4 linked regions of the Diceros bicornis minor genome follow. The protein of the gene in region 1 purifies or fractionates together with the protein of each later gene. This does not show direct contact. Links are inferred from orthologs where the notes say so. Each region holds a gene or a part of one and is shown on either strand. Other genes may lie near its edges. The genes, in order: PARP1, TOP2A, JUN and RPA1.

Evidence for each region.
Region 2: the proteins of PARP1 (region 1) and TOP2A purify together in Homo sapiens (co-immunoprecipitation; 3 studies listed by BioGRID and IntAct, with this or other methods). This does not show direct contact. The link is inferred for Diceros bicornis minor from reciprocal best matches to the Homo sapiens genes PARP1 and TOP2A.
Region 3: the proteins of PARP1 (region 1) and JUN purify together in Homo sapiens (co-immunoprecipitation; 3 studies listed by BioGRID and IntAct, with this or other methods). This does not show direct contact. The link is inferred for Diceros bicornis minor from reciprocal best matches to the Homo sapiens genes PARP1 and JUN.
Region 4: the proteins of PARP1 (region 1) and RPA1 purify together in Homo sapiens (affinity purification with mass spectrometry; 3 studies listed by BioGRID, with this or other methods). This does not show direct contact. The link is inferred for Diceros bicornis minor from reciprocal best matches to the Homo sapiens genes PARP1 and RPA1.

Annotation. Positions count from the first base shown.
Region 1 is NC_080777.1:7,605,056-7,612,499, forward strand, and holds the start of PARP1 (poly [ADP-ribose] polymerase 1), read left to right. Parts: upstream 1-4,432; 5' UTR 4,433-4,481; coding exon 4,482-4,601; intron 4,602-7,444. UniProt on the Homo sapiens protein: Poly-ADP-ribosyltransferase that mediates poly-ADP-ribosylation of proteins and plays a key role in DNA repair.
Region 2 is NC_080757.1:39,912,628-39,919,781, forward strand, and holds the start of TOP2A (DNA topoisomerase 2-alpha), read right to left. Parts: upstream 3,008-7,154; 5' UTR 2,912-3,007; coding exon 2,891-2,911; intron 2,037-2,890; coding exon 1,881-2,036; intron 1,664-1,880; coding exon 1,573-1,663; intron 1,275-1,572; coding exon 1,211-1,274; intron 1-1,210. UniProt on the Homo sapiens protein: Key decatenating enzyme that alters DNA topology by binding to two double-stranded DNA molecules, generating a double-stranded break in one of the strands, passing the intact strand through the broken strand, and religating the broken strand.
Region 3 is NC_080752.1:20,478,451-20,485,024, reverse strand, and holds JUN (transcription factor Jun), read left to right. Parts: upstream 1-4,082; 5' UTR 4,083-4,296; coding exon 4,297-5,301; 3' UTR 5,302-6,053; downstream 6,054-6,574. UniProt on the Homo sapiens protein: Transcription factor that recognizes and binds to the AP-1 consensus motif 5'-TGA[GC]TCA-3'.
Region 4 is NC_080757.1:15,951,096-15,959,019, reverse strand, and holds the start of RPA1 (replication protein A 70 kDa DNA-binding subunit), read left to right. Parts: upstream 1-4,906; 5' UTR 4,907-4,982; coding exon 4,983-5,015; intron 5,016-5,404; exon of another isoform or gene 5,405-5,482; intron 5,483-7,924. Other genes in the region: SMYD4 (SET and MYND domain-containing protein 4), read right to left, coding at 3,063-3,196. UniProt on the Homo sapiens protein: As part of the heterotrimeric replication protein A complex (RPA/RP-A), binds and stabilizes single-stranded DNA intermediates that form during DNA replication or upon DNA stress.

The sequences.
Region 1 (7,444 bases):
AATACAGGAGTTCAACAGAGGGTTTTGAGCAGGGTAGAAGTCATAATCAAATTTATTAAAAAAAAAAAAAAAACTTTGGCAATGGATGTGTTGGAAAAGGGAGAGAAGAATAATGCTGAGGGGAGAAGTGGTGAAGACAATGGCAGTGGGAGGGATTGGAAGGGTCAGGAGAGGAAGCAGACAAGGCTTAATGGGCAAGTCCCTAGACCTTTCCAGCTTCATGTTCTTATCTGAAAACTGGGATTTAAAAACACCTACCTAGAGACATTGCCAAGGCAAGTGAGAGCTGATGGGCACTGGGCCACTCTGTGCCTCGCTGAGGAAAAATAACTAAGCACAGGCAAAGGAGACCCTAAGAAGCCTAGAGGCAAAATGTCATCACAGGCATTCTGCGCAAACTTGCCAGAAGGAGCACAGGAAAAAACATCCAGACGTTTCAGTCAGCTTCTCAGGATGTTCTTTAAAATGGTCAGAAAAATGGAAAGCCTTGTCCGATAAAGAGAAAGGAAATTGGAGACACGTCAAGAGTGGACAAGAGCCCTTGTAGAATGAAAACTTGTATCCCTTCTAAAGCAGAAACAAAAAATTCAGGGTTTCCAATGCACCCAAAAGGACTCCTTTGGCCGTTTCCTCAGTGTGTTCCAAGGATCGGCCAAGAATCAAAGGGGATCCTGGCCTGCCCGTAGGCAATGATGTAAAGATCCTGGGAGAGGGCCCTCCCAGTGGCACAGAGGTTAAGTGCACGTGCTCTGCTGCAGCGGTTTGGGGTTCGCAGGTTCCCATCCTGGGTGCGCACTGACGCACTGCTTGCTAAGCCATGCTGTGGCAGCGTCCCATATAAAGTAGAGGAGGATTGGCACGGATGTTAGCCCAGGGCCAATCTTCCTCAAGAAAAAAGGGGAGGATTGGCATCAGATGTTAGCTCAGGGCTAGTCCTCCCCACAAAAAAAAACAAAAACAAAAACAAAAAAAAAGAACCTGGGAGAGACATGAGCCACAGCGCTGCAGATGGCAAGCAGCCTGAGAAGGCCGTTCAGCAGAAGGAAGGATCTTGCTGCATCCTGAGCTAAAGGAAAGCTGATGTGGCACAAAAGGATGCTGTCAAGGCTGCTCACAACTAGAAAAAAAGGTAGAGGAGAAAGACAGAGAAGGAGAGGAGGATGAGGAGGAGAAAGATGGAGACGACAGAGTTGAAGACGATGATGATGAAGAATAAGGTGGTTCTAGGTCAGCTTTTCTTTCTCTTTCTTGTCCATTAAGCATTTAACCTCCATAATTCATTCCTTTAAAGAATAAAAATTGAAAGATAAAGCTGTATAAGATATGTTTTTAAACTGTTGTGGTTTTTTTGATATTGTTAACAAGAATTACCAAGTAATTCTTTAGACAACCCTGACCTGGTGGTATTTTCAATAGCCACCAACCTCACCGGGGATATAGTATGCGGGTTAGGAGTTCAAAGCAGGTTCTCGTTGGTGCACAGTACAGATTAACTAATCTGTTATACATGGGCATGGTAGTTTTATCAACTTCAATTGTCTCTCACGCAGCTTGTATGAAATAATTGTTGTTCTGTTAACTGAATACCACTCTGAAATTGGGGGATAAAAAGTTACAGCTGTTTTGTGGACAATCTGAATGCTTCTAAGTAAATACAGTCATTTATTAGTTTTTAAAGTAACCTATTTCATAGCATTATAATGAGGAGCAAACAAACTTATGTTTATGAATGCCCTTTATAAAATACAAAAATCTATATAAGTGTGAAGTACCGTTATTATTAAACAATTGGGCTGTGCAGAGGAAGTGTCAAAGGTGTGATTCATTCATTCATTCAACAAATATTTTTGAATGCTTGGCACTGTGCCAGGCACTGAGGCTAGTACAGAGAGCAGAACAGATAAACCCCTGCCCTGGAGGAGCTTGCATGCTGGTGAGGGAGACAGACAATAAACACATGCATATGTATAAAATACGCTGTTAGGAGTAAGAAGTAGAAAGAAGAATATAAAGTAAGACAAGAAGATAAAGACAGTGTGCAGAGACTAAGCATCTTAGCTGGAGTGGTCATGGTAACGTGTGAGCAGAAGCTGAATCAAGAGAGGAAGTGAGCTGTGTGCTCGCTGGGTGAAGACTGTTCCAGAAAAAATAAATGCAAAGGCTCTGGGGTGGGAGTGGGCTTGGGGTGTCTGAGGACCAGGCAGGAGGCCAGTGTGGCTGGGGCAGCAGGAGCCCTGGGGAGAGGGTGATGATGATATCAGAGAAGTGACCAGGGTTCAGATTCAGCCGCAGGAAGAACTTTGGATTTTATTCCCAGTATGAGGAGAAGCGTTTGGAGGGTTTTGAACATGGAAATAATACGGGTTGAGATCTAAAGCGACCTCATGTGTTTTCACGGGAAGAAAAGACTGTAGGAGGGCTGGCCTGGAAGGAGACCAGGCAGGAGACTGTGGAGGAACCGCAAAAGATGATGGCACTCCACAGCAGTGCTGATGGGAAGGAGGTGAGAAATGATTGAAGTCGGAAAGTCAGGATTCGGTGATGGATTGGATGTGGGACGGAAGAGAAAAGGAGTCAAGTCGACTCTAAAGCATTTGACCTACACAATGTGGAGAATCGTGGACCATTTCCTGAGATGGGAAGCACTGGGGAGATTTTGGACATTGTTGGAGAAGCATATATGACACCCAAACAGAAGTATTGACTAGGCAGTAAGATATGGCTGGCTCTCCCTAAAATTCTACCCAGGTATTCCTAATCTTGTGTGTGTTTGCCCAGGACCCCATTGCGGGTGCAGTGAGGTCTAAGAAATTCTAATGCGATGGTAGCTTCCAGATACGCTATCAGGCAAGCTGTCCCGGAAGTCACAAAACAGAAAGCCTCACAGACCAAATTAAGACGCTTGAATTACAGGTTTATTGAATCACCTGAAACACCTGATTTAAAGTTCCTGCAGCAAAGGGAACAGCATGGGGCAGATAACACACACAGGACAGGGAACAGGCAGGCGGAAGGACCATACCACCTGAATGTCCATATGTTCTGTCTCTCTCTCTCTGCTGCATCAGCCAGCCCCCCTGATGATGGGGTCACGAAGACCAGAGCTGAGGACGCTCAAGGCTACTCAATAGAGGGTACCTGGAGCCACTTCACAGTCACCTATCAGAGAGACACAGGGGCAAGTACGCCTGGACATGGATGTAGTTTGTCAGTCAGCCTGCTGAACAGACATGGGTTTTATCTGTAACTCTTGCGCAAATCAGACGGAGCCAGAACGGGACCATAATGTTATCACCAATGAGAGGCCTTTTAGGGATGACATAGTTGTCAACCCAGACGTGGGATGATCATGCCTTTTGATTTGGTTACTCTCTAAGTAAAATTCTTATTTGTACCATCATATATTCCACCTATTCTATTTACCTTCGACATATCTAACAGGTCATGAATTTAGGATTCTGCCTGTGTCTCATAACCCACTTGCCTACTCCACACCCAAGTCTCTTAAGCTACTAGCTTTCTTCTTCTCTATGCTTAACAGGTTTTATGAGTCTCATTCATCCCGTTTCCTTTTCTTGTCCTCTATAGCAGAACTGAATATTCTCAAACACAGCACTCTCCGTTATAATGTTTTAAATGAATAAAATACAATGCATAGGGTTAAAAAAAAGAAACCAGTTATATAAAAACATAGTTCTACACTAAATAACGAGATCTAGTACCAGACGGTGTAGTAACGACAGCAATTGCAAGTAACGATGAACTTAATATTTTGAGTTCTCTCCAACAACTGTAAAGGGCCATGAAAACCTCTGTGATGACTACTGCCGACATAGTCACAGGTACTGCTAATACTCCCAGGATTTGCATCCATGCATTTAAAATTCACAGTGAAGGAGATGCTAGAGCTCAGTTCGTACTCGGTCGGGAAGGTCTGCGGACTGTAGTTAGAACCCCCGCCGAGGGTCAGCCAGCGTTGACCCCTCTCTAGCAGAGCAACCACATTCCCGGGCCAGCCGCGCGCCTTCCAGACCTGGGCGCGCTCCGGGGAGAAAGGACACACTTATTAAAAGGGATGGAGGTGGAATTAGTTGTGAGAGCACGCAAGCCTTGCTGGCGACGAAACGGTTAAGCAGGCGCCACCAGGTCCCTCCGAGACCTCCTCGCGCGCGGCCTGCCCGGCTCTGCGCGCAGCCGCAGGCGCCGGGGAGGCGGCACGCCAGGGCCGGCAGGGGGCGCGCGCCGGGGCCCCGCCCCGTGGACGCGCGCGCGGGGGGCGTTCCCGCGGCGGGCCAGGCATCAGCAATCTACCCGGAGCGGCGGGGGCGTGCGCGGCGTGCGCGGCGGCGGCGCTGCGAGCTCGGGCGCCGGCGGGGGGCGGACGGGCGCGCGCGCACGCGGGGCGGGCAGCGGCGGCAGCGGCGGGGCTCCGGGGCGCGGCGTCGGGCTCCCGCGGCTGCGGCGGCGCGAGGACCGGGAGGATGGCGGAGGCCTCGGACAAGCTCTACCGGGTCGAGTACGCCAAGAGCGGGCGCGCCTCTTGCAAGAAATGCAGCGAGAGCATCCCCAAGGACTCGCTCCGGATGGCCATCATGGTGCAGGTGCGGGCGGAGGGCCGCTTTGTGCGCGGCGGGGGCCTCCGCGTGGCCGGGGAGGGGGCAGGGCTTGCGCGGAGCGGAGCGGCGGCCCGGGCCTGTGGGCGCCGCTGCCCCTCCTCCCCCGCGTGGCCCGCCGGGCGGACCCTCCCGCAAGCTTTTGCTGATCTTGCAGGAAAAGCCCGGGAAATGCATTCTTGAGCTCGTGGACCCCTTCGGTTTGTAAAAACAAGGAGCGGTTTCTATTTATATTTCTGGGGGGTGGAGTTCTGGTTTTTTCATTGCCCTTCGCCTCGGGGGGAGAAAATGTGTGCACGGTCTTTGGAACCTAGTCAGGTTTTGACCTACCTTGTCCTGGAAGATTTTTTTGTCCTACATTGATGGTGGCGACTGGCGCGGGAGGATTTTTTTTATATATCTATTTTTGGCTCTTTCAACTTCGACTCACTCTCATTTTTTTTTTAATTATGCAAAACCACACAAGTCGGTGTCATTTCTGTACAGGGCATTGACTTTTGGCCTAATTTGTGGTTGAAAATAACATTTTCCCCAAACTTTCCAGGTTCACAGACGCATTTTCTTCTTGATGCATTTGCAGCTATCTGGTTTGAGTAAGAGGGGCTCCGGGATTCCTCACCTGGGCCTCTTGACACATTGGGGATCCCCCCTGCCCCGTGTTCCCTGAGGCTTCAGAGATGGCTAGTGGGTTGCTGGGTGGGCTGTGAGCTGTGTCTGAAGGCCCCTGCTGACGCTGAGGGGTCCCTGCCTCCTCCAGCTTCCAGCCTGCTCCTGTCTGCCGGTGTAATCTTGGTTCTCATCTGCTCTGTCATCTCCTCCTCCAGCTTAAAGCTGTCTGTTATCCAGACTTGGTGCATAGGGTCAAGATGGCTTGGTTTTCCCTCCCTGCAGGAGGGCAGTAGCATGTTTTAGGAATGGCTGGACAGCCCTCTCTGGATTTCCACTTACGAGGTGGAAGAGAGTGGGTACCGAGTACTTAGGGTATCTCATTTTGTAATGTGTTAGGGACTGAGGCTGCCATCTCGGTATCCTCAGGGCCAACCTAGCTCAGTACTCGGCACACAGTACTCATTCCGTGAACACTCACTGAGCGCCTGTTGGGTTCCAGGCACTGTGTCAGGTACCAGAGGCACAAAGAGAGACTCCACCTTTGGCAGCTTCCAGTTTTGTTAAAGGGAAGGTGACTGATGAACACTGCTGTACCTGGGTGGGTGCCACCTGATGGAGCTGTGCATTAGGCATTGTGTGCCCAGGATGGGAGCTTGATTAGAAGTCATTAGTCCCAGTGGCAGGAAGTTGAGGATGGAGAAGCAGGCGAGGCCTACCACTTGAAGAGCCGTGTCTCCCACTAAGCATCTTTGAACTTGACCCTGAGTGTATGGGCGGCCTGACCTTACGAAGCTCCCTCCTAGTGCAGGGGGCTCCTAACCTGGAGTCTGGGATGGCGGATAGAACTCAAGAGGTCCCTGAGTTTAGATGATAAATTTACATCCCTATGGTCACTAATGTCTAGATTCAATTCATTATTTCCTCCAGTTATGAATGTAAGCAGCAAAGCAAAGGCCTAATAGCAGTACCTTGATTTTTGTCATCAACAGTAATTACAGATATTTTCATATCATTTTACGTTTGTTGGGAGTTTCCCAAAATATCATTTATGCTCATCACTACTTCAGAATTACAGTAGGTATTACAGCGGGTGCTAGATCTCTTTATTTAATGCTTTAAAGCTCGTGGATTACTGTATCCCAGTAAGCTTTTTAAATGTTTTGATAACTGTTTCAGTATATTTGGTTTCCTTGGTGAACCTGTGTATTTTGTTATGCATTTTTAAGTGTTATCCAAGGAAGGGACATGCATAGGTTTCACCAGACAGCCCAAGAGAACCCTGTTCTATTGAGAAGGACAGACAGAAACCCCATATCCAGCCAGTGTGTAGAGGCAGGAAGGGCACTGTAGAGAGGAGGGCTAGCTGTGTCTGGGGGAGTCGGGGATGGCCCCATTGAGGAACCGACTCCTGAACCAAATGAAGTTTAACATTCCGGGCCCTCGTTTGGCATACTTGATAGAGAAAGAAATTATTATTAAAAGTAAGTGTGGTTTTCTGTAATAGTTGGTGGGGGTGGAGTTTTAATCCAGAAAGTAATGTTGGTTTTGTTTGCTGAGCTGGCAGAGGCCAGAAATAAAGAAGCCATTCTTCTCCTACTTGGATTTAAATACCTTCTTTTGCATTTGTATGGGAGGATTGTTCTCTTGAGTATCAAATACGTGATACTTTAACTGGCTTGCCCGGGGGCAGCCTCAAGGGGACGGGACTTCCAGCCTTTGGACTGGGAGGGGGTTGTGGTGGGCTCCTGTGTTGTTCTGTCTTGGGAGGGCTTCAGGCACCCAGCGTGGTCACATACAGGGAGGTGACAGTCATTCTGCTCTCTGTTGGGTAGGCGGGCAGTGGTGTGTCCTGTTTTACGCAGAAGGAAGCAGACAGGGCAGCTGAGTGAGGACGCTGTTACGGGGTAGGTTCTAAGTGTTTGCTGATTACACAGCCAAAGATTCTGCCATGCTTGAGCTGTGCGGCTGCCAAGCAGTCTTGTGACCTTGGTCTGGTTCCCTTCCTGCCATGTCATCCTGAGTCCTAAGTTCTAGGGTAAAGCTTTGCTTTGGTCAAGGATTCTTTCCTCTCGAGAGAGAATGGGGGCCCTTACAGTGCCCCAAGCCTGTGCTATGAGTACACCTCTGCTGCTTGGCACTGCCCCATGGTTGGGGGCTGGTGACGCAAATAATCCATAGTCAATCTATAAATCAAAATTGGGGTGAGTTTGTTACCGCACAAA
Region 2 (7,154 bases), on another chromosome or scaffold:
ATCCCACTCCTGAAATAGGAGCCAAAAGGAGAAAAACTTAAACGTTTTCCAACATCTGGGTAGACACTGATAATGTTGAAAAAATATGAAGTTTTAAAATGTTGGGATAAACAAAGGGAAATGATTTATGCCCAATGGAAAGAAAAGGACAAAATTTGGAAACAATATTATTATACCGCTTTTAGGAGGATCATCTGTACTGTCCTGGCTCCCCTAGCTTTTCCATCCTACAAAGCACATTGCAAAACAAATATGAAAGGGAAAAACATTATCAACTGTAACCTTCCCTGCTTGCCAATAAAATGCTAAACATTTACTTGGACTTATTCATCTCTTATTTTAAGTTAATTTTCAGAAGATAATATATAAAATGGTTCTTATTCTAAGTAGTACTTAGTATTATCTATAAAAAAGACTAAAACTAGCTCATTATTTTTTAAGACAATGATATCGAGTCCTTAAGAGCATTTAAGTACATCATTAACACCTACATTTCCCAAAAAAAGCCTTAAGTATAGTTTATGTTATAATTGATCAGGCCAATAAAAAGGTGAAACAAGGATGCTGACCACGCACAAAAGGACACCCAATATTTATAAGCTGAAACATTAGATCAAATTATTCTGTCACCACCTGCTGGTTTACTATTTGAATAGCATCAGGAGAAAAAGATCTAGACCCCAGAATACTTACAGCAATTATTGGAGATGCTTACTGAAGTATTTAGGGATGATGTGGGATAATGTCTGTAATATATTTTTAAATGCTTCAGAAAAAATATAGATGGGGCAAATATAGCAGAGTGTTGATAACTGTTGAAACTAGGTGGTAGGTATCGTAGATTGTCCATTTTAGCATTTAGCCTTTCTGTGCTTTTGCAAACTTTCATTTAAAAAAAGCCAACCTCGGGCCGGCCCCGTGGCTTAGCGGTTAAGTGCGCGCGCTCCGCTGCTGGCGGCCTGGGTTCAGATCCCGGGCGCGCACTGACGCACCGCTTCTCCGGCCATGCTGAGGCCGTGTCCCACATACAGCAACTGGAAGGATGTGCAGCTATGACATACAACTATCTACTGGGGCTTTGGGGGGCGGGGGGAATAAATAAATAAATAAAATAAAAAATAAAATTAAAAAAGCCAACCTCATTAAAAATCAAGTAAATGCAACTAACAGTAACAATGAGCTATAACAAACAAAAGACCAAGAGACTTACGGGTCAATCGTGACTCTAATACAAGACATTTTTGGGTCCCTTTGTTTGTTGTCTGCAGCATTGACTGAAAGAAAATAAAATACACATTTGTAAGAAATTAAAGTATTTAAAAAAACATTCTTTAACTCTAAGATATAGAAAGAAGAATCTCAAATAGCACAGGAGTAGCATTAATGAGGTGTTAATTCAGCAATTTTTATTCAGAGTACTGTTCTTAGAACAGAATTCAACTTCCTAGACTTCAGTAGACTGTCTCACCTTTGCCAACTATTGTTTGAAATAACAGAAGGTCTGGCTACAGTAAGGAATATTTTTTATGAAGGATTTGACTGGTAGATCTTTATACGAAAGAATCTACTCACCTAGAATCTCATCAAAGATTTTGTATAATCCAGGAACAAAAGTGACTTCCCTATAGTTAATGCCAACATCTTCATCGTAAACCCACATTTGCTAGAAATAAGGCAAAGAAATATAGTCATTTTTACCCTATGTTTATTGTTTTATCATCATGATTACTATAAAGTGTTCTGGGGTAAATACTACAATATATATATGATAGCTTAGGCCAGTTCCAGTGACACTCAAAGTACATGAAGTGTAGAAAATTAACCTGGCAAAGTATACATTTTAACTACTTACTAACTGCATGTCATTAGCTTGGTTTTACCTGGGTCACTAATTCCACAGAGCCAATGTAGGTGTCTGGGCGGAGCAAAATATGTTCCAACTGCGTTTTCTTTTGATAGATTCTTTCAACGGACAGTCTTTTCTTAGCATCTTCATTTTTCTTTGTTTTGTTGATTTGCATATTTTCATTTACGGGCTAGCAATTAAAAAAAATTGAAGAAAAGAGATTTTTAATCATAGGTTTATCAGAAACTATAAACGAAACGTCTACCGTAATGATATGCTTGCACACACTACAACAAATTGCAATCTGTCAGTAGGTATTGGCGACGTTTACATTGTTTTGTGCAAACACGGCCTTTTAAGGTAACTGCAGCCAGGTCCCCAGGTGGCAGTTTGAATAGACACATATGATCTCACCAAGTGTATTTGACATGGAAATATTTTCCTCGGAACTTTTTATTTATCAATAAAATACACCCACTTCTTTCACCTGTGCCACAAATATTTACTAAGTGCCTCCCACGTCCCAGGCACTAACAGATTCCAGTTCAGCAGCCGTTTGGGAGGCTATCGATTCAATCCTCTGGCCAAGTTAACGTTTTGAACACTGGAAGGACATATTTTGAGCAACTCGGGCCTGCCGGCTCCTTAAGGGGAATATTGTGCCGTGCTCTGCACCCTCCAAGGTCAGAGACATTCAACGCCCTATTCAAGCGGAGGGTAGGAGAGGAAAGCATTGGTATGCGCAGCTTCAAGTCACACGCGGTCCATTGTAATTCAGATCTACTAGAGGACCAAGTGAATCCTGTCCTTAAAAACAGTAACACAAGACACAACGCCCTAGGGGCCCGTTTAGCCGCTAATGCTTCAACATTAGCACCATAAGGGGGTTTCACTTTCCTCACGATCACGCCGAGCCCGGGAGACCACGGTCGACACGGAATACCGGCTCCCAGCCCACCGCGGCCTGGCCACAGCCCAGGAGCCTCACCCCTCACCGGCAGCCAGAGATACCGCTCCACGACCCGCCTCTTCCGCGAGCTGTACCTGCAGTGGTGACACCTCCATGGTGACGGTCGGGAAGGGGCTCGAGAACCCTGCAAGAGACTAAACCGGCGGGACGCACGAGACGACCCCGGAGCCAGCGGCTTCTCCACAGACGCGCGTCGGTTAGGCGAGCTCCTGCAGTCCCATTTGAACCATCCTCCTGCCCGCCCAAACCAGATAAGCCAATCCCTGACTCGGTCTCACCGGTTCCGTCCCGAAGAACCAATCGTAGCTAGTCTTTTATATCTACCAATGAACGGCTGAGTTGGCCCAGTCGAATGAACCAATTAGGCAGGGGAGGCGGGACTAGGAGGTTTCAAAAGACACCACTCGGAGTCAATTGCTGAGAGACCGACAGGGAATCTGGCCAATGAGGAGGGCTCGTTTGTTCTCTCAGAGCAGAAAACTCTGAAGAGACAAACTGTGGAAGCGGGAAGGGGTTTTCTGAGGTGCAGGCTGGGGTGAAAAGAGGAAGGAGACGGATGTTTATTCCCCAGGAGCTGCTAACTTGTTTCAGATCCCTGAAATCTAAACGCCGTCCTCCGGCCTGAGGTTTTTAGTGAGAGGAACGGGAGCGCTATCTCCATTTTCCTGAGGAAACCGAGCGCCGGCTTCCTGGCGATTTGGTTAAGCGAACAGGATCTGACCTTTTCCTCAACCTCCCCTCCCCCCCAAGAATTTAGCGTGTTTTTAGAGAAACAAAAGTGCTACAGTTGTGGTTTTTAGTTTTCGTATAAAGAAGGGTGTAGAGAGGCCGCGCAAAATAGAGAGCAGCATTCAAGTCCCCCAGTAGAGGGGCGTTGGGCTGCAACTGCTCAATTAAAAGGAATAATTTATAGTCACCGCCTCAGGAGCTAAGGATGGTTTAGCGGCCGTTCTAGGACTGGAACTTTCCCCTCAGACTGCCAATAGGATGCCCTACCATGCGTTACTTTTGCTCTCCTCTGTGTTCAAGTCCCTGAATTCTGCGGTCCAGAACAGCGGTTGAGATTTGACGAGGAAATGCCAAAGACCGAAGTTTTTTATTACTCTGACGTGTAAATTTCGAGGGGGGTTATTCTGTCCTCGTCAATCCACAGTGTTCAAATGACCCCCCCCCCAAAAAAAAAACACGCTCTTACAAGATGCTGGAAAAAATAACCGCATAATTTGACCATCTGAACCACCTCCTTCCAATCACTATTCCGTGAGTTTTAATCCTGGCCTGGCATTTTGCCAGCCGTGTGATCTTGACGGAGGCAGCTTCTTGGTGCTTTCCTTTCTTCTGCTAAAAAAAGGAAATAAAAATAACAGTATCACCTCAGAGTTGCGTGAGGATTACACAAGATACATGTAAGACATTTAGAATAGTGGGCTAACAGTATCAGAATCAGGAAGCAGGGATTTTTCCTTAGGTTACCGTGACAATTTGTGGACTTAATTCTTTTTTTTTCTTCTCAAAGAAATCAGGGCCGGCCCCGGTGGCCTAGTGGTTAAGTTCTGCACCCTCCGCTTCTGTGGTCCAGGTTTGGTTCCTGGACGTGGACACACACCACTTGTCTGTTAGAAGCCGTGCTGTGGCGGCAGCTCACATAAAAAAGGAAAAAAAAGGGAAAGATTGGCAGCAGATGTTAGCTCAGGGCAAATCTTCCTCAGCAATAAATAAATAAATAAATAAAAGAAATCAGAGGTCAACCAATTACTGAATCACTCCAGCATGTTCAATGCCCACTCTGCTGGCAGAGCCCCAGGGAGGGCCAGGGCAGAGGTGGTGTGTTGTGACAGGTAGTCAAGGATGGAAGTAGCCCACTGGCTAGGGTAATTGGGAAAACCAAAGGAATGGAGCTTTGGCATTGCTCTGGTCCCTGTCCTCTGGTTCTCCTGGCCTCCAGTAATTCCTGAGTGTCTTCAGCTCCACTCTGCTCATCACATGTGTTGATAGGGGAAGGCAGTCTCAATGCACAGGACCACCAGGGTCTCAGAGCAGCTGTAGGGAAGCCCATCCAGTAGCGTCTGCCCATCAGAAGGCTGACCAGGCCCTGGGCTCCAGGGCCAGCCTGTCACTCTCTGCAGCTTTCCCAGGACAGAGGATGACCCTGATAGTCAGAGACCAGCTGTGCTGCCTTCTACCTCCTGGAACACAGAGGCCCCAGGTGGTAGGGGAGGGTGGGCCTGCTTCCCCAAGGATGGCAGTCCAGCCTCTGCCTCCCTTGGCTTCCCACCCTATAGCTCATCCCAGCCTGCAGCACCCTGCGAGATCTGTCTGGGGATGAGGCAACAGGAATTTAATAAGCAGCACCAGCCCTATTTCCTGGGACCCAGCTTGAAATCTCCCCTGCAGTTTAGCCTGATCCTGACTGTGTGGGTCTCTGTTCCAAAAACCCAGAAGCAGAACTGTGGAGTCAAAAGGACTTTGAGTCACATATGTCTAAGTCAGAAATCTCCCTGAGCTTCAGTTTCCCCATGTCATTAGCCTTTATCAAAGGTATAGAGGGCTAAATGAAATATGGAAGCACCCAGAACAATCTTCCAGACCTCTAGCACAGAATGTCCTTGGTGTGTGTATGTGTGTGGGATGATTGGAGGGCCCTTCTCTTGTGGGGGAACACAAGCTATTTCTCTGTCAGCCTCTCCTCCTTTCCAGAGCCTATCACAGGGAGTCCTGCAGGACTTGTAGGGGGCCACTGAAGGAAGTCTGGGATGGGCGGACCTGGGAGGCATTGTCTACAAAGAGGGAATTCCAGGTGACTGCCATTTGCTAGTGCTGGAAGGCAAGAAGGGGTCGGGAGTCAGTTCCAGGGGCTGTGGTGGGGAGAAGGGGCAGCCATCATCCTCGTTATCCCCGGCCCCTCCCACTTTCCGCCAACTCTGCAGGGGCCCAAACTAGCTACTCTGGACCTTGTCCCCATCCCTGCCCCCACTCGTAGGGGCCAAGTTCAGTAGTACTTGGGTCAGACTCTTGACTACAATACTTGGTAAATGTATGACCCTGGGCAAGTCACTGAGTCTTTCCGTGCCTTCATTTCTTCATCTAAAATGAGGATAATGAGTACCTCCACACAGGGTGAGATAACACATGTAAAGTGCTTAGTGCATTGCTTGGCGAGTTGTAAGTGCTCAAAACATGTTAGCAGTTATTACCTCTACTTTTCAAGACCTTCCTCCCACTCCCCTGTCAATTCTCCAAGTTCTTTCCTCCAAAACCGACTCAAAATTCCCCTGTCCAGGGAGTCTTCTCAGACCATCTTTTTTACTGAGGCCCCCTCAAGTCCTTCGGAGTATATTTGCATACGCAGATGAGTTCCTTTGATAAATGTTGTGTTTCCTGTCTCTCCACTCTGTGTCAGGGGAAGGGGGGTCCTGAAGGAATTGTGTCTCCATCTTCCACCTGGGAGCTCCCTTTGAAAGGGCAGTGTTTCTTCCCTCCTGCGGGCTGACTGAGCAAAGGCGGCTGGGCTGAAAGTGTGGCTCTGGATTTGGGGGATGGAGCTGGCTAGGCTGGAACTCACTGGAAATTCCTGAATGAGGCTGGGCCAGCGCCAGGGTACTGGGGTGGTTAGGGCTCTGCCAATAGGCCCTGTTTACCTTGAGGTTAATGACTGGCAGGGTCTGATCAGTCCTCTTTACTAGGGATACCAGCCTCTGGTTGGAGGAGGCCAAGAAAACCCAAAATGTCCCATAGAGCTCAGCCTCTCTCTGCTAGTGGCATTGCAGGTCTGCTCCTCAGATCACTAGTGGCCCCAGGTAAAGGGACATTGAGGGCCACCAGACAGAGCTAGGAGGAGAGCAAGGGAAGTTCTAGCAGGGATCAGCTCAGGACCAGGGATTTGTCCCCAACAAGTCCAATCAGGTGTTTCCCTCAGCAGTCTGGCAGTCCAGTATCTATCAAAATTTTAAAAGTGTACACACTTTTTGACTCAGCAATTTAACTTATAGGAATATTGATACACTCCCACAATTGTGTAAAGATATATATATACACACACACAAGGTTATTTATTGCAATATTGTTTTTTATTAGAAAAGAACTGGCAGCAATCTAATGGAATGGAAAGACATGCAGCTATTAAAGAGAATGAAGTTGATCTAGATATACTGATATGGAAATATCACTAAGATATATTGTTAAGTTTAAAAAAAGTGAGGTGAAGAATAGAATGTAGAGCATAATTGCATTAGAGTAAATGTTTATGTATTCAGTGAAAACATCTGGAAGGAATTGTAAATAGTTGGAGGAGGAGGAAAACTTTTCATATTTTCTCTTCTATTTGAAAAATTTAACATT
Region 3 (6,574 bases), on another chromosome or scaffold:
GGGTCATGGAAAACAATGGATAGGGCAGCTACACTCAGGGAGCAGAATCAGGGTCTAATCAGGGTGTTGGGTAGGGGTCCTCCACATGTCTGCTCAGTGGACTAGTGTCTACTGTGGTCTCCCATTCCTTCACTTTCCAAACCGTGTGTCCATTGCATTATCCTGTCTCTCTCCCACCATCACATATTGAGGGCGTGCAGGGTGGATATCTTGCCTTTAGATGTAGAGTCTACTACGCATCACACGGACCTGAAAAGTCCTCAATACCCTGTGACTAGATGAGTCTTTAGAGTTTTTAGAGTAGATGAGTCTAGATGAGTCTTTAGTGTCCCCCTTGAGGAAAGAATGAGGGAACTTGCCTGTGGGAGGATGGTAAGCCAAACATTTGGTGAACAGAAAGGGGACTGCTAAGAGTCATCTGTGTTGTTCCCCAAATATTCCTGGCTCTCTCCCTTTGAGATACTTGGCAAGATTACAGAGGGGTAAAGTTAGGCATGGCCACCTGACTTGCTCTGGCCAGTGATACATGAGCAAAAGTGTAGTGTGTCACTTCCAGGTGGATGCTTTAAGAGCCCTTGAAGGATCTGCCACCCTTCTCTCCCCCAAGCCAAGACAGTAATGAGAAGCGTGCGTCAGGAGGCAGCCTTCTTCAGCTGGAGCCCTCGAGGGACCACAGCGAGCAGAACTCCTCTGCAGACCCACAGTGGGCATGCAGCATGAGCAAGAAATAAACTTCCCTGGGGTAAGCCACTGAGGTGTGAGGCCTGCTTGTTAGGGCAGCATAACCCAGCCTTTCCTGACATACTGGAAGCCAGAAATGAGGCTGGAGAGCAGGAGCCGGACTGTGAAAGGCCCCTTCTCCCAGGCAAAGGCATCTGAACTCTCTCCTGGTTGTATGGGGAAGCCAGTGGAGGCTTCCAAGCAGGGGCGTTAACATGAACAGATCTGTTATTTTTTGGAATGAAATATGCTATTTCTCAACATAAGGAGAAAATCAGCCTACTAAACCGCATAAGGCAGAGAGGAACACACAGAACCCTTAGGCAAAAGATATATATTTATACAAAGCCTAAATCCTGAAGTTTCTAAATACAGGAGCTCTGAAAGGAGGCCCTGAAAGGAGTTACGGAGGTTCAGGCAAGACAATTTCTTCTATCCTACCATCTAAGCGCCATTTCTTCTGCAGACAACTAATACTTTACAAGAAAATCTCCCAGAGCAGAGAAGATACAACAAGGGAAGGTAACAGACCCAACTTCAATTTCCAGCTCCCTGTGTGACCTGAGCAAGATACTTAACATCTGTGGGCCTACTTCCTCATATGTTAACTCCAAGACAGTTGTGGGGAGAAATGGCATAAATTGCAGGCGAATGCCTGGCTGATAGTAGGTGTTTAATACATGAAATGTATTTTTGTTACTGCTATCATAAAAGTTATTAAGAACATCAGCTCCCTGATTACAAAAGAAAATGATTCAGGGCAACAGTATACAGAATGCTCCCTCTTTGAGGGAAGTAACTGGATCTTGTCATCACTGTATCCCGTTCCCGCCCTCACCCCCACCCCAGCTCAGGGCCTGGCTCACAGGAGCCACTAGGGTTTTCCTCTGCTGTCCCAGGCGAGAGGGGAGCGCCAGGAGTGAAGAAAAGTGCTCAAGACTTCCCTGACGCTGCTGCTGCTGTAGGGCTGCTGATTCTCAACTCTCAAAGCCACAAACACCTTAAGGCTTGCGGCTATGAATCCAAGGATTGCCCCACGTTCTGAAGCGGAAAAGCAGCACTAGAACTTAAGGACGTAAGCTGCTCCAAGTCCAGCTTCAAGCCGCAGTCCTCGACGGAAAGCCCAGGAAAGAGCTGACTTCTGCCCCTTTCCTCCTCCCAGGAGGAAGTACACCTGGTCCTTCCAGATCACACTCGCACGTCCTGGCATTCCACTGAGGCTCTGGGAAACTCCGAGGGCGGGCAGGGAAGGGGCGGTCTGTGGACCACCGGCTAGCCCGGGAGGCGATACTACACTAGCTCAGCCCAGTGAGGTGGAGCTCACCGGCCCCCCGGCAGAGGAAGGAACTGAAGCTCCCAGAAGTTCGGGGATTTGCTCCCTTCACACCGTGGCAGCGCGGGCCGCGACAGAATCCACGACTCCCGGCCTCGGGATGCTTTCCACTATACACTTCTGTCCCTATGGGGTACGGGGTGGGGGAGGATAAAGTAAAAAGCACAGAAGAGGAACCACTTCCATGTGTCTAGCGCATCCTAGAGGCTACACAGCATACGGGCCCACCTCCGGGCCGGAACGGGGAGACTCTCAATCCTGGTTCTACCCCGGCCCCGGCGGGACTCTGGCGGGCGTCCGCCGCCCTCGGAGTTGTTTTCCCGGAAGCAAATCGGGGCGTGAGGAGTGTGTGTGCGTGTGTGCGCGCTGTGCGGGGGAAGGGAGCAGATGCTCGCCGGGGTTCCCCGAGTTTCGGATTCCCTCAACTCTCATTCCCAGCTGAACGCAGAGGTGCCCCTAATTCCACCCCCATGACAAGCCTGCTCTGGAGGCAACGCCGCGACCCCGCACCCTCTCCCCGCAGTCGGGGGTGCGGCGGGACTGCGCCGGCACCCAGTTTCGAGCCGTGCACACCGCCGGCTCCCGGGCGCAGCCGGACGGCCGCCCGTGAACTTGACCGGGGGACAAACTCCCGAGCGTCTCAACGCGGGGGTCCGCCCTCGCAGGGCCGCCCTCGCGAGGCCGCCCGGAACGGGAGCCCGCCTTCTCGCGCCCATCCCCACCGGGACTGAAGAGACCCCTTAAGGGCGTGCTCCCGCCCCGGAAGTGCGGGGGACGGGCCCAGGCCTCAGCCTCCCGGCCCGCGCGGCGCCCAGGTGCTCATGGGTGACACCGGGGCCCCGACACCTGGCCCGTCCCCAGCCTTCGGGTCCCCGCACCCCCGGCACCCCCGCCCGGAGCCCTGAACTTCAGCCCGCCTCCATCCGAGGCTGCGAGCGCCGCGTCCGCCCCTCGCGCGGCAGCCACCGTCACAGTCAGTCAAACCCCAAGACGTCAGCCCACAATGCACCGGGCGGGCCGGGAAAGACGCGCCGGGGGAGGGGCACCGGGGAGGGGGGGAGAGGGCGCGAGCCGGCGGGAGGGGGAGGGGGAGGAGGAGAAAGAAGGGCCCAACTGTAGGAGGGCAGCGGAGCATTACCTCATCCCGTGAGCCTCCGCGGGCCAGAGAAGAATCTTCTAGGGTGGGGTCTCCATGGCGACGGGCGGGCCCGCCCCCCTGAGAGCGACGCGAGCCAATGGGAAGGCCTTGGGGTGACATCATGGGCTATTTTTAGGGGTTGACTGGTAGCAGATAAGTGTTGAGCTGGGGCTGGTTAAGGGCTCAGAGTTGCACTGAGTGTGGCTGAACCAGGGCGGCGGGAGTGGCGTGCGTGGACTCGGCGAGACGGGCAGTCGGGACGGCGCTGGAGTCCGCCCCGCACATCTCACTTTCTTCTCCATTTCCTCACCAACTGCCCAGAGCTAGCGCCTGTGGCTCCCGGGCTGGTGTTTTGGGGAGCGCCCAGAGAGCCCCTTCTCCAGCCGCCCCCAGGAGGAGAGCCCCGCTGCCTGGGCGCTGCTGACAGCGCGGAGAGCGGCGACTGTCGCCCGGGAAGTCCAGAGAGGGGCTGCAGCGGCAAAGAACTTTCCTGGCCAGGAGGACAGGGGACAAGTGGCCCCCGGGTCCCGGAGCGAACTTTTGCAAAGCTTTCCTCCGCCTGAAGCGGCCGCGGCGGCGGAAAGGAGAGAGGGGCGACGCGCGCTCCGCCTCGCTCGCACCGGTTGCTGAACTTGGACGAGCGCGAGCCGCGGCTGCCGGGCGCCCCCTCCCCCTCGCAGCGGAGGAGGGCACGGTCGTCGGAGTTGGGCGGCGGAGACCCGCCGCCGGCCGGCCGCTGCGGGGTCCGCGCTGATCGGCGCCGCCAGGAGCGCCGCTGTCGCCGGGCAGCGAGTTCGTCCGCGGGCCCGAGGCACCGCTGCGCCGGAGCGCGCTCCGTGAGTGACCGCGACTTTTCAAAGGCGGGCAGCGCGCGCGAGCCGGCGAGTGAGAGTGCGGGCGGCGTCTTCACCCTGCGTTCCCTGGAGCGAGGCGGGGAGGCGGGCGCAGCGGCGCGGGCGGCCGGCGGGTGCGCGCGCTCCTAGAGAAACTTTCCTCGCCCAAGGCCCGGGAGGCGCGGGTGTCCCCGCTTGCCAGCGCACTGTTGCGGCCCCGAAACTTCTGCGCGCAGCCCAGACTAACCCTACGTGAAGTGACGGGCTGTTCTATGACTGCAAAGATGGAAACGACCTTCTACGACGATGCCCTCAACGCCTCGTTCCTCCAGTCCGAGAGCGGCGCCTACGGCTACAGTAACCCCAAGATCCTGAAGCAGAGCATGACCCTGAATCTGGCCGACCCGGTGGGCAGCCTGAAGCCGCACCTCCGGGCCAAGAACTCGGACCTCCTCACCTCGCCCGACGTGGGGCTTCTCAAGCTGGCGTCGCCCGAGCTGGAGCGCCTGATAATCCAGTCCAGCAACGGGCACATCACCACCACGCCGACTCCCACCCAGTTCCTGTGCCCCAAGAATGTGACCGATGAGCAGGAGGGCTTCGCCGAGGGCTTCGTGCGCGCCTTGGCCGAACTGCACAGCCAGAACACACTGCCCAGCGTCACTTCGGCGGCGCAGCCGGTCAGCGGGGCGGGCATGGTGGCTCCCGCGGTGGCTTCGGTGGCGGGCGGCAGCGGCAGCGGCGGCTTCAGCGCCAGCCTGCACAGCGAGCCGCCTGTCTACGCCAACCTCAGCAACTTCAACCCGGGCGCGCTGAGCAGCGGCGGCGGGGCGCCCTCCTACGGCGCGGCCGGCCTGGCCTTTCCCGCGCAGCCCCAGCCGCAGCAGCAGCCGCCGCAGCCGCCGCACCACCTGCCCCAGCAGATCCCCGTGCAGCACCCGCGGCTGCAGGCCCTGAAGGAGGAGCCGCAGACGGTGCCCGAGATGCCCGGCGAGACGCCGCCCCTGTCCCCCATCGACATGGAGTCCCAGGAGCGGATCAAGGCGGAGAGGAAGCGCATGAGGAACCGCATCGCTGCCTCCAAGTGCCGGAAAAGGAAGCTGGAGAGGATCGCCCGGCTGGAGGAAAAAGTGAAAACCTTGAAAGCGCAGAACTCGGAGCTGGCGTCCACGGCTAACATGCTCAGGGAACAGGTGGCACAGCTTAAACAGAAAGTCATGAACCACGTTAACAGCGGGTGCCAACTCATGCTAACGCAGCAGTTGCAAACGTTTTGAGGAGAGACTGTCGGGGGCTGAGGGGCAACGGAGAAAAAACAATAACACAGCGAGACAGACTTGAGAACTTGACAAGTTGCGAGAGAGAGAGAGAGAGAAAAAAGAAGTGTCCGAGGACTAAAGCCAAGGGTATCCAAGTTGGACTGGGTTGCGTCCTGACGGCGCCCCCAGTGTGCACGAGTGGGAAGGACTTGGCGCGCCCTCCCTTGGCGCGGAGCCAGGGAGCGGCCGCCTGCGGGCTACCCCGCTTTGCGAACGGGCTGTCCCCGCGCGAACAGACGGTAGACTTCTCTTTAACATTGACCAAGAACTGCATGGACCTAACATTCGATCTCATTCAGTATTAAAAGGGGGGAGGGGGAGGGGGTTACAAACCGCAATAGAGACTGTAGATTGCTTCTGTAGTACTCCGTAAGAACACAAAGGGGGGTGGGGGGCGGGAGGGAGGTTTGTGAGAGCGAGGCTGAGCCTGCAAATGAACTCTTTCTGGCCTGCCTTCCTTAACTGTGTATGTACATATATATATTTTTTAATTTGATGAAAGCTGATTACTGTCAATAAACAGCTTCATGCCTTTGTAAGTTATTTCATGTTTGTTTGTTTGGGTGTCCTGCCCAGTGTTGTTTGTAAATAAGAGATTTGGAGCACTCTGAGTTTACCATTTGTAATAAAGTATATAATTTTTTTATGTTTTGTTTCTGAAAATTCCAGAAAGGATATTTAAGAAAATACAATAAAATATTGAAAAAGTACCCCTCCCCCAACCTCTTTTCTGCATTATCTGTAGATTAGCTATCTAGGCCGAGTTGAAAGAGTTAAGAATGTCAATTAAAATCACTCTCAGTGCTTCTTACTATCAAGCAGTAAAAACTATTCTCTACTGGACTTGAGAAATAACTGTAGCTAATGCTGTTATCAAGTTATACTCTTCCCTCCCCCAAGCGTCTATATAGAGCTGCTTACAAAGGGTAGTGTGGTTTCAGGAGGCTGAGGGAAGGGAGGTTGTGGTGGAGAGGGACAGCCCGCTGGGGAGTCAGACACTTTAAAGATTATATCATGTGGCATGTGCTGTGACCATTTTTGACATTAGAAATTTAACAATAGATTCTTATTTTCAAAGCAGGAACGGTGGCAGAGTTTTACAAAAGATGTGTCTTTCCAATTTGGACTCTTCACTTTAACAATTCCTAGATAAAAAAGATGGTCTTTGCTTATGAATATTTATAACAGCATCCTTGTCACAATAAACGTATTCAAATACCAATAACAGATC
Region 4 (7,924 bases), on another chromosome or scaffold:
CTTAACCAGTTTCATGGCTCAAAATGCCATGTACAACGCCCAGATTTACATCTCTAGCCCAGGCCTTTCTCTTGAACTCCACGACCACTTGGACATCTCCACTCGGACGTCTCATAGACATCTCAAACTGAAATATGAACCCCAGATCTTCCTTCCTCAAATAGCTCCTTCTGCAGCCTTCCCAAGTGACGGTAATTTCATCCTTCTACCTTTGGCCCTTTAGGCCTAAATCCCTAGAGTCATGTTTTACTTCTCTCATTTTCTAACACACCATATCCCATCCATCAGGAAATGCTATTAAGTCTATCATCAGAATCCAACCACTTCTCATCACTCCCCCACTACTACCACCCTGGTCCAAGTTACCATCACCTCCTCTCTCACCTACATTCATGCAGTAGCCTCCCAACAGGTCTCTTTATTTCCACTCTTGCTCCAGCTATAGTCTATCATCACCACAGTGGTCAGGGCAATCCTTTAAAACAGGGGTCAGCAAATGTTCTGTAGAAAGCCAGAGAGTAAATATTTAGGCTTTGTGGGCTAAGAGGTAAAATTGAGGCTATTACATAGGTACTTCTATAAAAAATAAGGAAACACATTTGTAAAAACTTTTTATTGACAAAATTCAAAATATAATAATAATTGAGTATAATATTTTTATAATACAGGTCTACTAATGAGAAAAACGGAATTCTTTTTTTTAAAAAATAGATATCAATTTGCTTAACTGGAGTTCAAAGCCAGTGTTCCCTAACATCAAATCAACCACAAACGTTTCTCTGTAAAAACCATTCTTAGTTGATGGCCATACAAAAACAGGCAGTGGATGGATTTACTACACAGGCTGTAGTTTGCTGACCTCTGCTTTAAAAGATAATCAGATCATATCACTCTTCTCTTAAAACCCTGTGAATTAGTTTTCTATTGTTACGTAACAAATCAGCACAAATTCAGCAGGTTAAAACAACACCCATTGACTATCCTCACAGTTCTGTAGATCAGAAGTCCAGGCAGGCTTGACTGGGTTCTCTGCTTAGGGTCTCACAAGGCTAATCAAGGTGACCACTTACACGGAGGATCTGGGAAAGAATCCTCTTTTAAGCTCATTCAGGATGTTGACAGAAGCCAGTTCTTTGTAACTGTGGGTCTGAGGTCCCCATCTCCTTGTTGGCTATTAGCCAGAAAGCACTCTCAGCTTCTAGAGGCTGCCTGCATTCTTGTCATGTGGTCCCCTCCGTCTTTAATGTCAGCAAAAGCACATTCAAATCTCCTGCTTTGAATCTCTCTGATTTCCCTTTCCACTACCAGCTGGAAAAAATTCTCTGCTTTTAAAGGTCTCATCAGACTGGGTTAGGCCCACCCAGATAACTGTATCTCAAGGTCAATTTATTTAGGATTTTCATTACATCTGCAAAATCCCTTCACAGCAGCACTTAGGTTAATGTTAGATTGAATAACCAGGGGACAAGAATGCCGTGGGCCACCTTTAGAAATCTGCCTACGATACCTTGCAATAACTTCCTCCTCAGAGTAAAAAGACAAGGCACTTACAAGGGCCAACACGATTTGTGCTACCTGCTTTCCCCGAGCCCCTGTGCATGTCCTATTACCTCTCTGATGTTATTTCCCCCTACTCTCCCTCTGGCTTACTCTGTTCATCCACACTAGCCTTCCTGCTGTTCTTGAACATGCCAGACACTCTCTCACCTTAGGATCTCCACCTGGAACGCTCTTCTCTCAGATATCTACTTTGTTAACGCCTGTATCTCCAAGACTTAGCTCAACTTTCACTTTTTCAATGAGGCCTATCGGACCAGACTATTTAATACTACAACCCGCACTCTTGCTCTTAGCACTGTCTGTTTCCCCTACCCTGTTCTTTTTTTTCCTTCTGTACTTATCACCTTTAACACGTTATATACTTAACTTATTTATGATGTTTATTGTCTGTTCCTCCTCGCTAGAATTAACCTCTCAAAGGTAAGGATCTTTGTCTATTTTTTGTTTACTGATGTATTTTTTTGTTCACTAAACATATAGCACAGTGGCTGGCACAAAATAGGTGATCAACAAAAATTTACTGAATCAAGTTTTGGGAAACTCCTGTTTCAGTTTTCTACATATGTATATGTGTACTAGGTTGTGATGCAAAGTGTATTTCTTACTGAGGAGTGTAGTCAAGAGAGTTTGAAAACTACTGGGATTAGACTATATGACCTCTAAGGTCCTGTCAAATTTGAGCGCTTATGAATTTCTACGTGCAGCTAATAAATCTCCGCTATATCCTTTGGGATATGGCAGGGCTCACAGCCTAGTGACTATAGCAAGGCATGATTATTGAAACATTGTACTGACACTGAAAAAGCTAAATAGCATCCCTACCTGTTCTATAACAGTAGGTTAGAAAACACTGATAATAGCAAGAACTGCTGAATGCCCCCAAATATAAAAATCTGAGCTTAATCCTTCCATTAAAAAGAGATATAACTTGGGGCCGGCCCGTGGCGTAGTGGTTAAGTGCGCGTGCTCCACTGCTGGCGGCCCGGGTTCAGATCCCAGGCGTGCACAGACGCATCGCTTGTCAGGCCATGCTGTGGTAGCATCCCACATAAAATGGAGGAAGATGGGCACAGATGTTAGCTCAGGGCCAGTCTTCCTCAGCAAAAAGAAAAAGAAAAAAAAAAAAGAGGAGGATTGGCATGGATGCTAGCCCAGGGCTGATCTGCCTCACAAAAAAAAAAAAAAAAAGAGATATAACTTGAAAGCAAATGACAAAAGAGAACATTTTGCAGATCAAAATTTCCCTGGTTAAAGCTTCCACTCATGGGGCCAGCCCCGTGGCTTGGCAGTTAAGTACGCATGCTCTACTGCTGGTGGCCTGGGTTCAAATCCCGGGTGCGCACCGAGGCACCGCTTCTCCGGCCATGCTGAGGCCGAGTCCCACATACAGCAACTAGAAGGATGTGCAGCTATGACATACAACTATCCACTGGGGCTTTGGGGAAAAAAATAAATAAATAAAATCTTAAAAAAAAAAAAAAAAAAAGCTTCCCCTCACTTACTGAAGAAGCGAAGAGGAGTGAAGAAAAATATCTCTCACAGTCTCTGCTGTAGAAATTGTGACCTGAGTCGACATCGGGAGCAAAGACCACTTCTGAAGGACATACGATTTCCACTCATCCACGGGCAGATCCATGTTACTTTAGATCTATAAAACGAATAAGAAAATGAGGAATTCAATTTGTACAAATGCACAATTCTAGTCAAGATTTCATTTAAGCCAGCATGAAGCAACAAAATCAATTCTCGTGGTCTTTTTCTATAGCTGTTTATATGCTGAGGAAGGATCTATATTCTCTCACACCAATTCACTCAACATCCTTTCATTCAGAAATATTTACCGAAAGCCTACTTTGTTCTAGGCACCACTAGGTGATCAGCTAGCCACGATCTGTCCTCTTAGCCCTCCATCTACCCTAGGCTCAAGTCAGAAACCTGAGAGACATCCCGATTTTCCTTTCTCACTCTGCCCAGCAACTATTAAGTAAATATCTCTCTCTAGTTCGGTTTTTTCTTATCCCTAGGTCATTCCTTTAGTTCAAGCCCTCACTATCTCTTGTCTGGCATTCTTTCTAGAGTGTCATAACTAGTCTCCATGCCCTCAGTAACACCCTCCCCCCATTCAATCCATCTTCCACAGTGAGGCAGATGTCAGTCCTTTGCCTTAAATTCATCAATAGCTCCTCCTAGCACAGGGAAGCCAAGTACAAATCCCTCATTATTTGACCCTTGCCTTACTTTTTTTTGTGAGGAAAATCTGCCCTGAGCTAACATCCATGCCAATCCTTCTCTTTTTGCTGAGAAGACCAGCTCTGAGTTAACATCTATTCCCAATCCTCCTCCTTTTTTTTTCCCTTTTTCTCCCCAAAGCCCCAGTAGATAGTTGTATGTCATAGTTGCACATCCTTCTAGTTGCTGTATGTGGGATGTCACCTCAGCATGGCCACACAAGCATTTCGTGGGTGCTCGCCAGGGATCCGAACCTGGGCCCACCAGTAGGAGAGCACGGGCACTTAACACGGGCCGGCCGGACCCTTGCCTTACTTTCTAATGCTCAAGTCTCACTTCTTCCTCTGTATCCTACTATCCTGAGCTACTCAAAGCTATCCCCAGCTTGCCAGGCTGTTCATCTGCCTAGTTTTTGCATAAACTATTCATGCTTCCGGGAGCATCCCTACCCTCACTTGCAGTCCAGCTGGCAAATTTCCACACATCTTTCAAGACTCAGTGCAAATGACAACTCCTCCGGGAAGCCTTCCCTGATTTTCCATCCGTGATCACAGCACACTGTCTCTCTCTCCTGGGGCCCATACCCCGTCTACCTTGAGTTACGGCTACTCACAGCGGAAACTCCTGGACAGACTGTGCTCTCTGAAAGCAGGGACCGGGTCTTATTTACCTTCAGAGCCCCCCACTGTGCCAAGCGCAGGGTCTGGCACCGGCGGGAGCTCAGCACCGGGCTGCTGAAGGAATCAAGTCACTGCTTCGACGACATTTAGCAGCAGAGTTATCAGGGAGCAGCACTAATTCTCTGGGCTACCTGTCGGTCTGCCCGCCAAAGACTGAGCCGGTCTGTTTCCGAAACCCAGCTCGGAAAGCTCCCGGAACTGGCCACCCGCGCGCTTCGCTGCGTCCGCGTCACCGTCGGCGCGCCCGGCGGCCTGGCGCCCCGCCCCCGGGCCCCGCCATCCTGCGACCAGGCCCCCAACCTGGGCACGGGCGGATCACCTAGGCCGCCCGCCGCGCCTCGGCCAATGAGAGGGCTGCTCGGCCCCTAGGCCCGCCCCTGCGCCGTGCGCACGCCGGGAGGCGGGAGCGGCGCACGCAGCGCCTCGGGCCAATTGCTTTGGAGCGTGGGGTCCCCGGGGAGTGAAGTGCGGGCTGCGCAGAAGCCGGAGCGCGGGAGTTGGCGCGTTGGAGCCATGGTGGGGTACCTGAGCGAGGGGGCCATTGCGGTGAGAAGACGGCCGCGAGCCGGGCCGGCGGGCTAGGGTGGCTCTGCGGGTGGAGAAGGGGGAGAGGAGCTGGGGGCCGTGGGGAGAGAACGCGAGAGGAGGAGACAGCGGGCGCGGGATGCGGGGGGGAACCGCCGGCTGACTCCCTAGAATCACACGGTTTTTCCTATCGTCTTGTAAACATGCTCATGTTTTTCCTGCTTAAGAAAACGAAGCAAAATAAACTGTTGATTTTCCATCTCCCTCCCGCGCCCTCTGTCTCCTCCCCTTCCTCCGCCCACGGCCAAACTTCTGCAGACTTGTCTGTTTTCAGCTATTTCATGTCGTCATCTCCCATTAACGCTTTAACCGACTGTAGTCGGTCCCTTCTAGGATCACATAGAAGTAACCTTGGCTGAAGGTAGCAGTCCCTCCAAGTCGCTAAATCCAATAGACAGGTTTCGGTTTTCAGTTTACCAGCGTTCTCAGCAGCGTTTGAGTCTCTTGAGTATTCTTTCTTTCTGATAACACCCTCTACTGTTGGCTTTTGTGGCTCAGGTGGGCTGGTCTTTCCCAGTCTTATTTGCAGGTCCCTCTTTGTAAATTTCTGTTGACTCATGGCTGTTCTCTAGGCTCTATTCTCCCAGGACAACCTCATTACCATCCATATGTCAATTGCTCACTAATGTCTTTGTCCGGAGCCACCTTTACTCTGAAAGACAAACCTTTGTAATCTGTCTGCCTACCTGATATCTCAAAGGCATTTTAAATTCAACATGTCGCAAAGCAAATACATTATCTTCCTAAGTTTGGGCCTCTGATCCCCAGCTGGATGAATGGCACCATTATCCGTTAAGTTATGCTAGCCAGAAATTGTGGAATCATTCTTCCTACAAACTCCATCAGCCTGAGGTCCAGTCCATCACCAAGTCCGGTGTGTTTTACTACATGTATCTCTTAAATCCATCTACTTCTCTCCATCGACATTGACACCATCGTTTCTGGCCTGGACTACTCACTTCCATCCGGCATAATCATCCTCCTGCCATTCCCATCATAGCATATTCCCACTTGTTCTCTCCTCCTTTCCAGGCTTTTTTTTTTTATTTAAGTTCCTGGTATATTCCATACTCTTGCTTTCCACAGGGCCTTTGACCATTCTTTTCCCTCTGCCTACTGCCTAGGTGGCTCTTTAGTCTCCCTTCAGTGGCTAACATAATCTTCATATCTCAGCTCAGTTACTTCTCAGAGAAACCTTCTTTGACTTCCCTTGCTAGGCTAAATCCCTTTATTTTGAGACCCTAATTCCTGTTTGTTCACTTATTAGCTGTTATGATTTTGGGCAGGATACTAAACTCTGCCTTTCCTCTTCTGTAAAATGAGACTAATGATACCTAGTACTTCTTGCCTAAGGTTAGTGGGAGGATTAAGTGAGCACTTACATTTAAAGTGCTTAGTCCCTGTCTGATACAGAGTAAATGCTCAGTATATGTTGCCTATTATTAATAATCACAGATGTAATTTTACATTTATTTGTTTATTTGATTAATAACAGTTACTTTCTGTCTCCCCCCCAATTGTAAATTCTTTGAGGCCTGAAATTATGCCTGTGGTTTTGCTCAACATAGTCTCTCCAGTACCTGGAGCAGTGCTGGCAAGTTTGAGGTGCCCAGTAAATGTTGTCTAGGTGCCTATGAGGCAGTGAAAAGAAAGGGGCAGAGATGGATGGGGAAGAACAGTTGGCAGAGTCGAGTGAATATTTGAGTAAATTAGGAATAATTAGTCCTGAGAAGTGATTGCGAATTGTAGTCCTCATTTACTTTACAGCTGCTACCTTATGTCTTGAAGACAAATTAGGAATTGTTCTTCACTTTTAAAAAGAAGGATCCTGGTGTTATTTAAATAATTTGATTAGTTTTTGCTATATTCAAAATTTTGGAAACATTTCCAGTGTTAGGTGAAGTATTACTTAGGTTTTATTTATAAATGACCAAGAAAATTTTTGTGTTTGTGGTGACGGAGTGTGGAGAACCCTTGTCAATTTTGATTACCGGCTAAAGCAAGTAGTGTCATTTCAGTTCAAAAGACACAGGCCTGAAAGGATAAGCAACTAACACAAATAGTAGAGGCATTTGGGGCAAGAGCTAACATCATGAAATAAGAGATTATGCATGGAACTATTGTGGTAAATAGAATAAAGAGCATTTGTCTCGTAAGTAATCGGTAATATAAAGAAAGGGGAAGAGAACTAATTTTTGACCATTTCCAGTGTGCCAGATACTTTATAGTAGTCACTATTTACAGTAACACTGTAAGGTAGAATTTTATCATTACCCTCGTCTTACAGATGAAGAAATTAAAGTGCAAAGAAGGTAAATAATTTGTCAGTGGGGTGAGGATTTGAACGCATGTGCCCTTGACTATTACATTCTTTTGCTTTGTATTTCTGTTAGCAATGTTAGTTTGGGAAAGTTAAGGCAGTTTTGTCTCAAGTGTACATATCATGCTATATGTCCTAGAAGAGTAAATCTTATATTCACTATTAATGATGACACAAATTAAAAAGAATAATAAAGTAATACTTGCATGCGGTTTTCAAATCAAATAGAACAGAAAGGTGTTTGATGAAGTTACTGACCCACTGCCCCACCTTGCCCCAGTTCTGTTCCCTAGAAACAGCTACTTTTTAAAATCATGTTTATTGAAGTTCAGTTTGATTTACCTGTAATAAAAACTATAATACATATGATGAATACATATAATAAAAACTCATCAAACTGTGTGCAGTTTGTTGTATATACTCCTGTAACCACACCACCCCAGTCTCCTGCTGCTTCCCCATCCCCTGCTCATTCCCAGGCACCACTGCTCTGGGTTCTGGTGTCTATCTCTTTAAGTTAGTTTTGACTGTTCTAAAACTTCATATAAGT